Arabidopsis thaliana: one gene and its partner. The protein of the gene in region 1 interacts with the protein of each later gene in a pairwise test. Each region holds a gene or a part of one and is shown on either strand. Other genes may lie near its edges.

Region 1 (4,217 bases):
ACCACTATCGAGGTACCACTTATGATTCTCTTCTTGTTCATCTTTCTTGTAGCTAGCCATTAATAACATGTCTTCTTCTTGAATTTTTTCTTCAACGTAGTTGGCCTTCTCCTCAAATTTTTTGTTGCTAGGAGCTTTACATTCAGAAGCCTAATGTCCAAACTTCCCACAATTGTAGCATTTGACACTTGATTTATCGTATCTTGATTTTGGGTGTCCTTTCCCACGACCTCTTGATGAGTTTTCACCTCTTTGGTTTGTGTTGTCTTCATGTGGCCTCCAACCACGTCCATTTCCATATCCACCACGACCTCGTCCTCGTACTTCACCACCACCTCTTCTTTGGTAACTTTGGCCGTTTTCTTCTTTTGTAATTCGCATATTGAGGACTTGTTCGACGATATCTTCTTTCTTCTTCTTCTTTTCTTCATAAGCTTGTAATGACCCAAGAAGTTGCTCTATTGTCATAGCTTCTAAATCTTTTGTTTCTTCAATGACGGTGACAATATGCTCAAATTTTAGATCCAATGATCTAAGAACTTTCTCCATGATTCTCACATCATCTAGCTTCTCTCCGTTTCTTTTAAGGTTATTAGTAACCGTCAACACTCTTGAGAAGTAGTCGGAGACGAGTTCACCTTCCTTCATTTGTAGTGCTTCAAATTCTCCTCTTAGAGTTTGAAGACGTACTTTCTTGACTTGATCGACACCTTTGTAAGAGGTTCGAAGCTTCTCCCATGCTTCTTTCGCCGACGTAGCTTCAACGACCTTCTCGAACGTATCTTCATCTAATCCTTGATAGATTAGACAGAGAGCTTTCTTGTCTCTCTTTCTTGAGTCTCTCAAACCATCCTTTTGAGTTTGAGAAAGACTACCTTCATTCTCCGGTTCAATGAAACCTTTCTCGACTATCTCCCACACGTCATGTGCTCCTAGGATAGCCTTCATTTGTAGACTCCAATTATCATAGTTGCTCTTTGTGAGCACCGGGACTTGGAAGGGAACATTGTTACTCGCCATCTTTAGGATCTTCAAGTTCTGCTACCACTTTGTTAGAGTAAAATTATTTTAGAGGTAATGGAGAAAGTGTTTAAGTGTTTTGAGAGAGTTTTTTTGGAAATAGAACTTTAATTACTTTGCTTTAAACTTGAAGACAACTTCACAACATTGCAACATTTGAGAGGAGGAGGAGGTATTTATAGCCTCCAAACTACAAAATATCTAAAATATTTTAATCGTAAGTCTAGAGAGTTCTTATATAAGATCTAGATTACATTATTCAAATTATCTAGATTATTCTATTAGAGTATCTAGATTTTTATGTTTAAGGAGGTGGAAGATGATTCTACAAAATTTCTAGAATCTTTTAAGGAGGTGGAAATGATGATATTTCTAGAGAAAATTCTAAAACTTGAATTTGGCCATAATTAATTATTGGATAATTGATCCAATAATTAAACTTGATTCAAAATCAAGTTTAACTTTCAACACAGTCATCAAGACTCACGTCCCGTTAGAAAACGTACGATTACTATAACCAATTAACCATGGTCCACGGTCAAACTTTAACCGTGGTTAATTTAAATAAAAGAAACATTTTATGCTTATAAACTCCAAAAACCCTTATTATATAGATTTTCTCTCCCGAATCTGTTTTCATTTTCACAATCTTCGTCTCAAAATCTTGTTTTTCTTTTCTCCTGCAAGAATCTCTCGCCATGGAAGGAGTTGTTGAGCCACGTGAAGAGAATCGTGACAGGGACGTGAAGAGCTTCGTAGATTGAACGGTCGTTTTGTCGTCGCAGTGTTGCTTGAACTGTCCACAAGAGTCTGCAAAAGAGCAGCTGCTGGCTCAGATCCAAACCCGACGATGACCGGACACGTGGCGTATTCTTGGGCGATGGAGTTCAACTTGTGGGCGCATCTTGCTTTTATGCTTGTGATTCTCAAGATCATTGTTGCTCCGATGGTGGTGGAACTGGAACAGATGAGAAAAGTACGAGAAGAGTGTGACGTGCAGCTGCTCGTGGGTTTGATTTTTGTCGTCCTCACGATTGCTTTCTTAGCGTACCTTCGCTGCTCCGTCACCGGGTGAGTGGTGTGTCTTGAGTTTCTTCCACCGTTACTATGGACCTGTGTCTTTTAGTGAGACCATCGACGATGCTTACATTTATCATCTCTCTTTCTATCTACAATCTAGTTTTCGTTTTTTTCTTTCTTTGATGGGTTTGTTGTTTTGAACATTATGGTTTCTTTGATTAGAGGTTTGAATATTTGGACCTGTGATCGTTCAGTGAGACCATCGCGGATGCTCTGTATCTGCTTTTCGTTTATTTCTTTGGATTTGTGTTGTGAACATTTTGGTTTCTTGAATAAAAGGTTTAAACAAGATTTTCTGAATATTAATTGATATTGTAGTTACAACTTGCAATATTTATCACTTCATACTGTATTTGCATAGATAAAAATGCGTTAAAGTTTCGGATCGCATCCCTGAATACAATAATTAGTTTTACAAAGAAATCGATGTGTGTGTGAACCGTTTATGATATCGGATTAAGACTAATTACTTCATGTTCTTGATGATAGTTTCAAATTTTAGCTCAAAATGTTTAAGGAATTAGCTGCAAAATGCAGTCATGAACTGTTTTTTTATCAATTAAATTTACATAAGATCAATCCATTGTTCAACGTGTCGTAATCAGGCAACTGCTTTAACTTTTGTTTACCCAAAGTAGTAACATTTTAGAAAAACCGATGAATAAAACTTAGTAAAAAAGACCATATTTAACCCTTAACATTTTTTTTTGTTCAAAATTTCACAATTATCTAACAATATAAAATATTTCTAGTCTTTTTATAGGTAGTTATATGATCAAATACTAAACCATGCAGATATTTTTGGTCCCAATTCTGTGTAACCAAAATTGTCAATTTCCGGTTCAGCAACGAACGAAATTTTGTAACCAGTAATTCAAGAAACCAATTTTTAACAGTGACCAAAAGAGGTAAGTCCTTCGTCCACTCAATATCATCAGTCATCACCTCTCTCCTTGAAACTTTTTCAACACGTACGGATTATAAACCATGGTTAGAGAAAAAGCAAGGTTAAAAAATAAACTATGGTCCATGGTTAAAATTTTAACCATGGTTAGGTTATAAACCCTTCTTCTTTCCCTCTTTAACAAACTCCAAAACCTCTCAGAGACAAATTTTCTCACTTTTTCCCGGATTCTGATTTTTTCATCAATCATCGTTTCAAAATCTCCATTTTCTCCTGCAAGACTACGAGATCGCAATGGATGACGAAGATGGAGGTCGTGAGAGAAGAGAAGAAACTCGTCGTGTAAACGATCGTTTCTTTCTTGCAGTTTCGCTCGCCATTTTCACCGGAATCTGCAAACGAGCTTCTGGTTTCGACGGTTCATATCTAACGGAGACGACGAAGAACGGACACGTGGCGTTATACTGTGCATCAGAGCTGAACAAGATGGCCGATATGTGCTTTATGGTGGTGATTATCAGAATCGGTTTATCGATGCTTGGACTCACGTTTGCGCCGGTGGTGATGCGTAGACTACGAGAAGAGACGGACATGAAACTTACGTTGGGTTCTATCTGCCTAGCGATTTCGCTCTGCTTCTCCGCTTATCTTCGGTTCTTCGTCGTCGGATGAGTTTGTGTTCGCCGGAATCTTCCCTGTTAGAGTAAAATTCTTTTAGAGGTAATGGAGAAAGTGTTTAAGTGTTTTGAGAGAGTTTTTTAGGAAATATAACTTTTATTACTTTGCTTTAAACTTGAAGATAACTTCACAACATTGCAACATTTGAGAGGGGGAGGAGGTATTTATAGCCTCCAAACTACAAAATATCTAAAATATTTTAATCCTAAGTCTAGAGAGTTCTTACATAAGATTTAGATTACATTATTCAAATTATCTAGATTATTCTATTAGAGTATCTAGATTTTTATGTTTAAGGAGGTGGAAGATGATTCTAGAAAATTTCTAGAATCTTTTAAGGAGGTGGAAATGATGATATTTCTAGAGAAAACTCTAGAACTTGGATTTGGCCATAATTAATTATTGGATAATTGATCCAATAATTAAACTTATTCAAAATCAAGTTTAACTTTCAACATTCCCTCTGCTTTCGACTTGGAACGCCGTCGTTTTAGTGAGATTCATCGTTTATCGTTATAATAATCTTTCTTTGTTT
Region 2 (5,987 bases), on another chromosome or scaffold:
ACAACGTGACGGCCATTATTGGCTTGGCCAAGTATTTACTATTTATATCCTTTTTCGTTGTATGGTTTATAATGAGAATAATGAAAAGAAAAAGTATCAAGAATTTTTCTTCTTTACTTTTTTTTTTTTCTTTTTTTTGAATAAAATGTAAAATTTATTCGAAAAAACGTGTTTACATCAAGTGTAACGGAAATTTAATCGCTCCTTTCTCTAACTTTATGGAACAAATATAACATCTCGTCTAGTAGTTTATAAGAATATTTAGAAGTTCTTACAATCGTTTTCGTTATTTTTTATTAAACACGAATGAAAATAGTGCTTATATTAAAATGTCATAGATGCGTTAAGTAGGCGATTATTTTACTTTTGTTTACATCAAAATTTTGCCACTAACTAAAGCAAAGTTAGAGCAAGATAATACACATTTATAACTATGTCAGATATCGAATCATCAACTCCAAAATTTCTCCTTTGACAAAAAAAAACTCCAAATTTTCTCTGTGCCTCAAGTCCTCAACGCAAATGAGCTGGACTGATTTTATGATGTGAAAACTTTGTTTTATGTATAGTAATTTCAGTTTACTTAGGCCCATATATTAGGCCCATAGATCACCCTGCCCATTTTGTTGGAAGTCCAGTTCTTATTTTCCTTCACATTCTCAACAACAACAAAAATGCATCATACTGAAAGAGAGAAACTTTAATTGCATTCCAGTCTAACAAAATATCATTAAACTAAAGAAAAACTCAGTAACAAAAATAACTAAGATCTATCCAATCAAAGACATGCATATATATATAAATCAATAAAAAATAACGCAGTAACTATTATAATCTTGGCATACAAAAATACATAACCTACCTCTAACATTTTAAACAAGAACACAAAAAACTTAAAATTGAGTTGTAGAAGTTTAAAAGGTTGATCCATATCCTTTTTTACCAGCTCACATGTTACTTTGAGCATTTGCATCGGTTTACCGATGAATCTAATCGGTTCCTTGGATACCAAACTTTCATCAACCTGCATCATTCAGGAACAACTTCTTGTTTCTTGTTGCTCCATTTGTCCAACCTTTTGGAAGCTTCTTCCACCTGAAACAAATTAAAATAACTATCAAATCAATGAAAATATTTACGTAAACACTTAGCGCCTACAGGGCAGCTTAAAGTTTAGCAAACTTACTTCTTTTGTCCAATCTGTTCTAAACGTGACCCACGCCAAAATAAACGTTTGTATAACCGTACCACCGATCATCCCCGTCCATATACCCTATAGCATCATTAGCCTTAAATTTGTTATTCTAATATTCAATACAAGAATAATGGTAACTAATTAAAATGAAAGTTAAGAAAACTATCTTGCCTTGGCACCGAAGTTAAAGTAAAACCCAAAGAGAGCCCCAAGAGGAATTCCAATAATGTAGTAACATCCAACGTTAACCTTCGCCACAAACGTTTGCCAACCGCATCCAACCGCCACACCTATAATAAAATTTTCCCAATTGTTCAAAAAAAAAAAAAAAATCTTCGCTTATTCGGTTTGCGAAATTGCGGTGTATCGATCAGAAGGGTTTACCAGAGAGGACAGGTTGGATTCCGTTAAGGACAAGTGTTACGGCAAGAAGCGGACAGAGATCAGAAACAGCGTCCGAGACTTCTTTACCCTCAGTGAAAGCATAGCTTAAAACATCGCGGCACGCTAAAATAACAATGGCTAGGATCACACAAGTGATTAACGAATAAATGTTAACGATGATCACAGAAAAAGCTGCTGATTTAGGGTTCCCAGCTCCAAGTTCATTGCTCACTCTTACACTGTATCAACATCATAACACAATTTTTGTCACACTTCATCAGATTTAATAGGAGAAAAAGAGCTTATGGTTCAGTATGATTTAGCATTATTTAAGTGTGTAAAATGTAAGAATCCACATATTTTTATGGGGGTAGGTAAATTGGATAGAGACGTTTTCTATTTTATATGATTTAAATTTAGTGAAAACGATCATGCAAGTGGTGAGTTGGGACAAAACAGACCTTATCGCTGCATTGAATCCAACAGATATCATGAACACCCACCCTGAAATCGTCATGCTGTAACACAAAAACAAATAATTTAATATCGTACACTATCAAAAGCTAGTATGAAACCATTGTTGCTTGTAATGTTTTTACAACATTTTAAAATTGTAACTTTTGACTTGACATGAAAATCAAAGATATCATATTATAAAGATGGGAATTCCATACTGATTTGGGGCAACTACCTAAATTTGGTGGCTGCTTCTGTTTGGTAACAGAGGAAAGAGAACTTTTGGAAAACCTAAAAAATCTAGTACTTACGACTCAGATAAATCTTAAACTAATTAGTACTAGAAGAATATTGTATAATATCTTCGACAAAATAAAGAAGTAGATGCAGATTGGACGAAGAAATAATGTTTTATTCGATTCCATATGAGATAGTTTCATATGGTCATACAGAAATTGTTAAAGTTAAATTCTACTGCTTAAGAAGAAGACAAAAACAAATTCCAAAGAAAACCAAAACGAGAAGACTGAAAAGAAGAAATGTGATGTGACCATAGATTGTCTGTAGCGGAAGAAGTGTCAAATTTGTTCGCCATTAACTTAACTTTCATATCTAGTATCTACAACCAAACTTTGCTTTGTACTCCCTACAAAAAGTTTTGTTCTATGCTTTTCATATCGAATAATAATAATACTAAAAGTTTTGTCGAATCATTACTAGAAAAATTCATGGAAAAGTCTATAATCATACATATTCACGTGGAGTTTCAGGATATATAAAAAAGTGTTTTCTTGTAGAAACCAATAACTACTACCTATGATAAAACATAAATAAAATATCATGTGGAAGACAAATTAGACTAGAATAGGTAAAATGGAAACCAAAGAGGCAAAAACACTAGAATAGATAAACTTAAATTATTATTTTTTATGGTCAATAGGTGAAATTAATTTAGTAAACGAAATTAACTAGTAAAAATAAATTTTAAAGGAAATAATTAAATTGAGTTTGACTAAAAATAGGACTTACCAAATAGAGAGTGAATCAAGAGCAAGTTCAGGATTCTCGAGAAGTCCGGCAAGAAGAACGAGAATCTGAAAATACCAAGTCTCAAGGCAAAGCATCACGGCAGAAGCGGCGGAGAGTTTAAAGAAACTCCACAAACCCGAGAAAGCTTGAACACTAAAACCTCTCCACGTCTCACGACACCTCTCACTCGTCACAATATAAACAAACTGAGCCACGACTATAATCCACCACGACAAGCTAAGCACAAGCGACGCACCAAGAAGTCCCATACCAAGCTTGTAAACCGCGAGCCAACTTAAAAGAAGGTGAACAAAGAGCGTAGCCGTTGAGATATAAGCACTTGGAGCTACTATGCTTTGTGATTGGAGAAATTTTTGTATTGGAAAGTTCGCTGCGTAGGCAAAGATTTGAGGGATAAGACCGTAGACGAAGAGCGATGCGGCCGAAGCGATTGCGGGAGATTCACCGAGGAAGAGAAGGATTGGTTCGGAGAAAACGTAGATTAAAGTAAGGAGGAGGCCGGTGAGTGTTAGTAATACGGTTGATCTTTGGAGATAAACTCCAAGCATCTCGTATTTTCTACCACCGTACGCTTGACCACATAACGTCTCCACTGCACTCCCCATGCCTAGCTATCATCGAAAAAAACTCGAATTTTAAAGATGTGAAAAAAAACATAGCATATAGACGAAAATGATATAAAACGTAACATTCATACAAAAAATATATACAAGAAGAGGAGTTTTTGGTTGTTACCATGAGACCGTAAGCGAAGACTTGAATACCGGTGTTACCAAGAGAAGCGGCGGCGAGTTCGAGGTTACCGAGATGGCCGGAGAAGATTTGAGTAGACATGGACATGAGGTAGTTAATCATGTAGACGATGACGGCTGGTGCAGCGAGGTTAAAGAGAAGCTTTGATTCGATTATGGTGGCTTTACGTAGGCGGAGAAACAGAGGAGTTTCTACGTCGGAGAGGACAGTTTCTAGCTCGCCGTTGGTTGACTCCGGCGGAGATGGAGATGGTTGAGGATGGAGAAGCGGTTGGTGTACGCCGTCGTTTGGAGACGAGTCCATGATGATGATGGAGATTTGCTCTCTCTCTCTCTCTTTTTTTTTTTTTTGGTTTGTTGTTTTGTTTGTGGTGTTATCGCTTGAGGATGTGTGTGGCTAGTGTTGTGTATAAGTGTATATAGGTCCTATCGAGGGTGGCGAGTGACGGCTAATGATAGTTACAAATTTGTATGTTAATCATTGTATTATTTCTACCGAGAGAGTCCACGTCTCTCATTAAAAACACCAAAGGTTATTAATTATTAGAATTCTTTCTTTCGTTTTTAGTCAAAGATTGTATAACATTTCTATGGATATCGTAATTAACTTTACAAGATATCTATATGTAAAATGCAAATAGTTTTCTTTACAATATTTTGAGTTATTTCGATGACATATATTGGTTAATTAGTATTCATAATTTTAAAGAATAAATAACGTACAATCACATTTTAAAAATGTGATTAATTTCAAATTCAATGTTATTTAATTTATATGATGTCAAAAAAGAATTGTTATCTAATTTATATACCACACATTTGCTCATGGATATAGGTTTCAATACTATACACAAATCTGTTTATTTATTATATACTAATTTGCTTAAATTTTTTGAACAGAAAAAGACAAATAATAATGTAAAACTGTTTTGATACTTCAGACAAAATGAAAATATCTTTGAAACATGAAAAATTTGTTCCATGAAAAAGGAAACTGTTTATTCTTATCCTTATAAGGAAAATAATCTTTCAAGAAAGCAAATGATTAATCAAATTGGGGAAAAAAAAATGATATTGAGTGGGATCTTCAAATACAACAAAACACCGTATGCCAAAAACTCATTTTGTACATGGCCAAAACAAAATTATGGTTTACCGGGCCAGTTACACCCACACCCCCTTCTTAAATTGTTGGTCCGCCCACACAAGGTATAGTAGTCGTAAAAGCAAGCGTACTAGTATAAAAATGATATTTATGGATACGATTCCAAATAAAATTGTTCACCAATGGTTATATGGTCTACTGCGAGTACACGTTTCTCTCTTTCATTCATTCTTTCTCAGTCATTAATTCCAACCCAATGATATAGCTACTACGTTTAATATTCATATTAAATGAAAATTAAAGTAACATCAATGATTATAAATGCTTGCCAGTTGCCCCCATGGTTTAATTCCTAAGAATGGGCTATCGTATGCAATAAAAAGAAAGGTAAACAACTAAACACCAATGGTTATATCGGTTGTTTTGAAAAATCTTCACGAGCACGATTTTAGGAAGATAAAAAAATTTGAGTGTTCGAATAATTGCCACTTTCACATTCAATGTTTTTCTGCGTATTAGCATGCAGGCATATACTTCATGGGTCATCATGGCAGCTTAGCTCCTTTTGCCGTTAATAGATATCAACTCTATTGGAGATATGTGTAATCCGATTAGGATTAGTACAATATCTTTGATGATAGAGTTTCTAACCTATATTTTAGGGATTTATGTTTATCTCTTGATAGAGATCATTGTGTATAAATACCATAGTTAATGAATCAATAAAAGCAAGTCAGTTCAATACCTTATTCTACACCCAACTATGACATCTTCTCTAGTCAATAGAATAGTAGAGATCAAAACCAAGCTTGCAAAAGTTTAATTCGCTTAAAAATTAGATATAATCTTTAGAAATCGAATGTATCAGATTCGAGTCATATAGCAAAGACAATAGCAGTGTAAATGATAGACCCAAACTTGGTACTACAGCTTTTAATGAAGTTATTTGGCTCAAATAAACCCAACCAAAAAAGTAGCTACGTTTTATCAGTAATAGCTGCAACTTGTATCTATATTCTGTGCAATATAAATGAGAAAAACGCGA

Evidence for each region. The genes of interacting proteins can lie anywhere in the genome.
Region 2: the proteins of AT1G21940 (region 1) and AT3G21690 interact in a protein complementation assay, tested with the Arabidopsis thaliana proteins (one large-scale study listed by BioGRID).

What each region holds. Positions count from the first base shown.
Region 1 is NC_003070.9:7,714,629-7,718,845, reverse strand, and holds AT1G21940 (uncharacterized protein), read left to right. Parts: upstream 1-1,870; coding exon 1,871-2,030; intron 2,031-3,284; coding exon 3,285-3,676; downstream 3,677-4,217.
Region 2 is NC_003074.8:7,636,904-7,642,890, reverse strand, and holds AT3G21690 (MATE efflux family protein), read right to left. Parts: upstream 4,308-5,987; 5' UTR 4,142-4,307; coding exon 3,821-4,141; intron 3,697-3,820; coding exon 3,065-3,696; intron 2,098-3,064; coding exon 2,041-2,097; intron 1,819-2,040; coding exon 1,580-1,818; intron 1,486-1,579; coding exon 1,367-1,485; intron 1,274-1,366; coding exon 1,187-1,273; intron 1,096-1,186; coding exon 1,030-1,095; 3' UTR 502-1,029; downstream 1-501.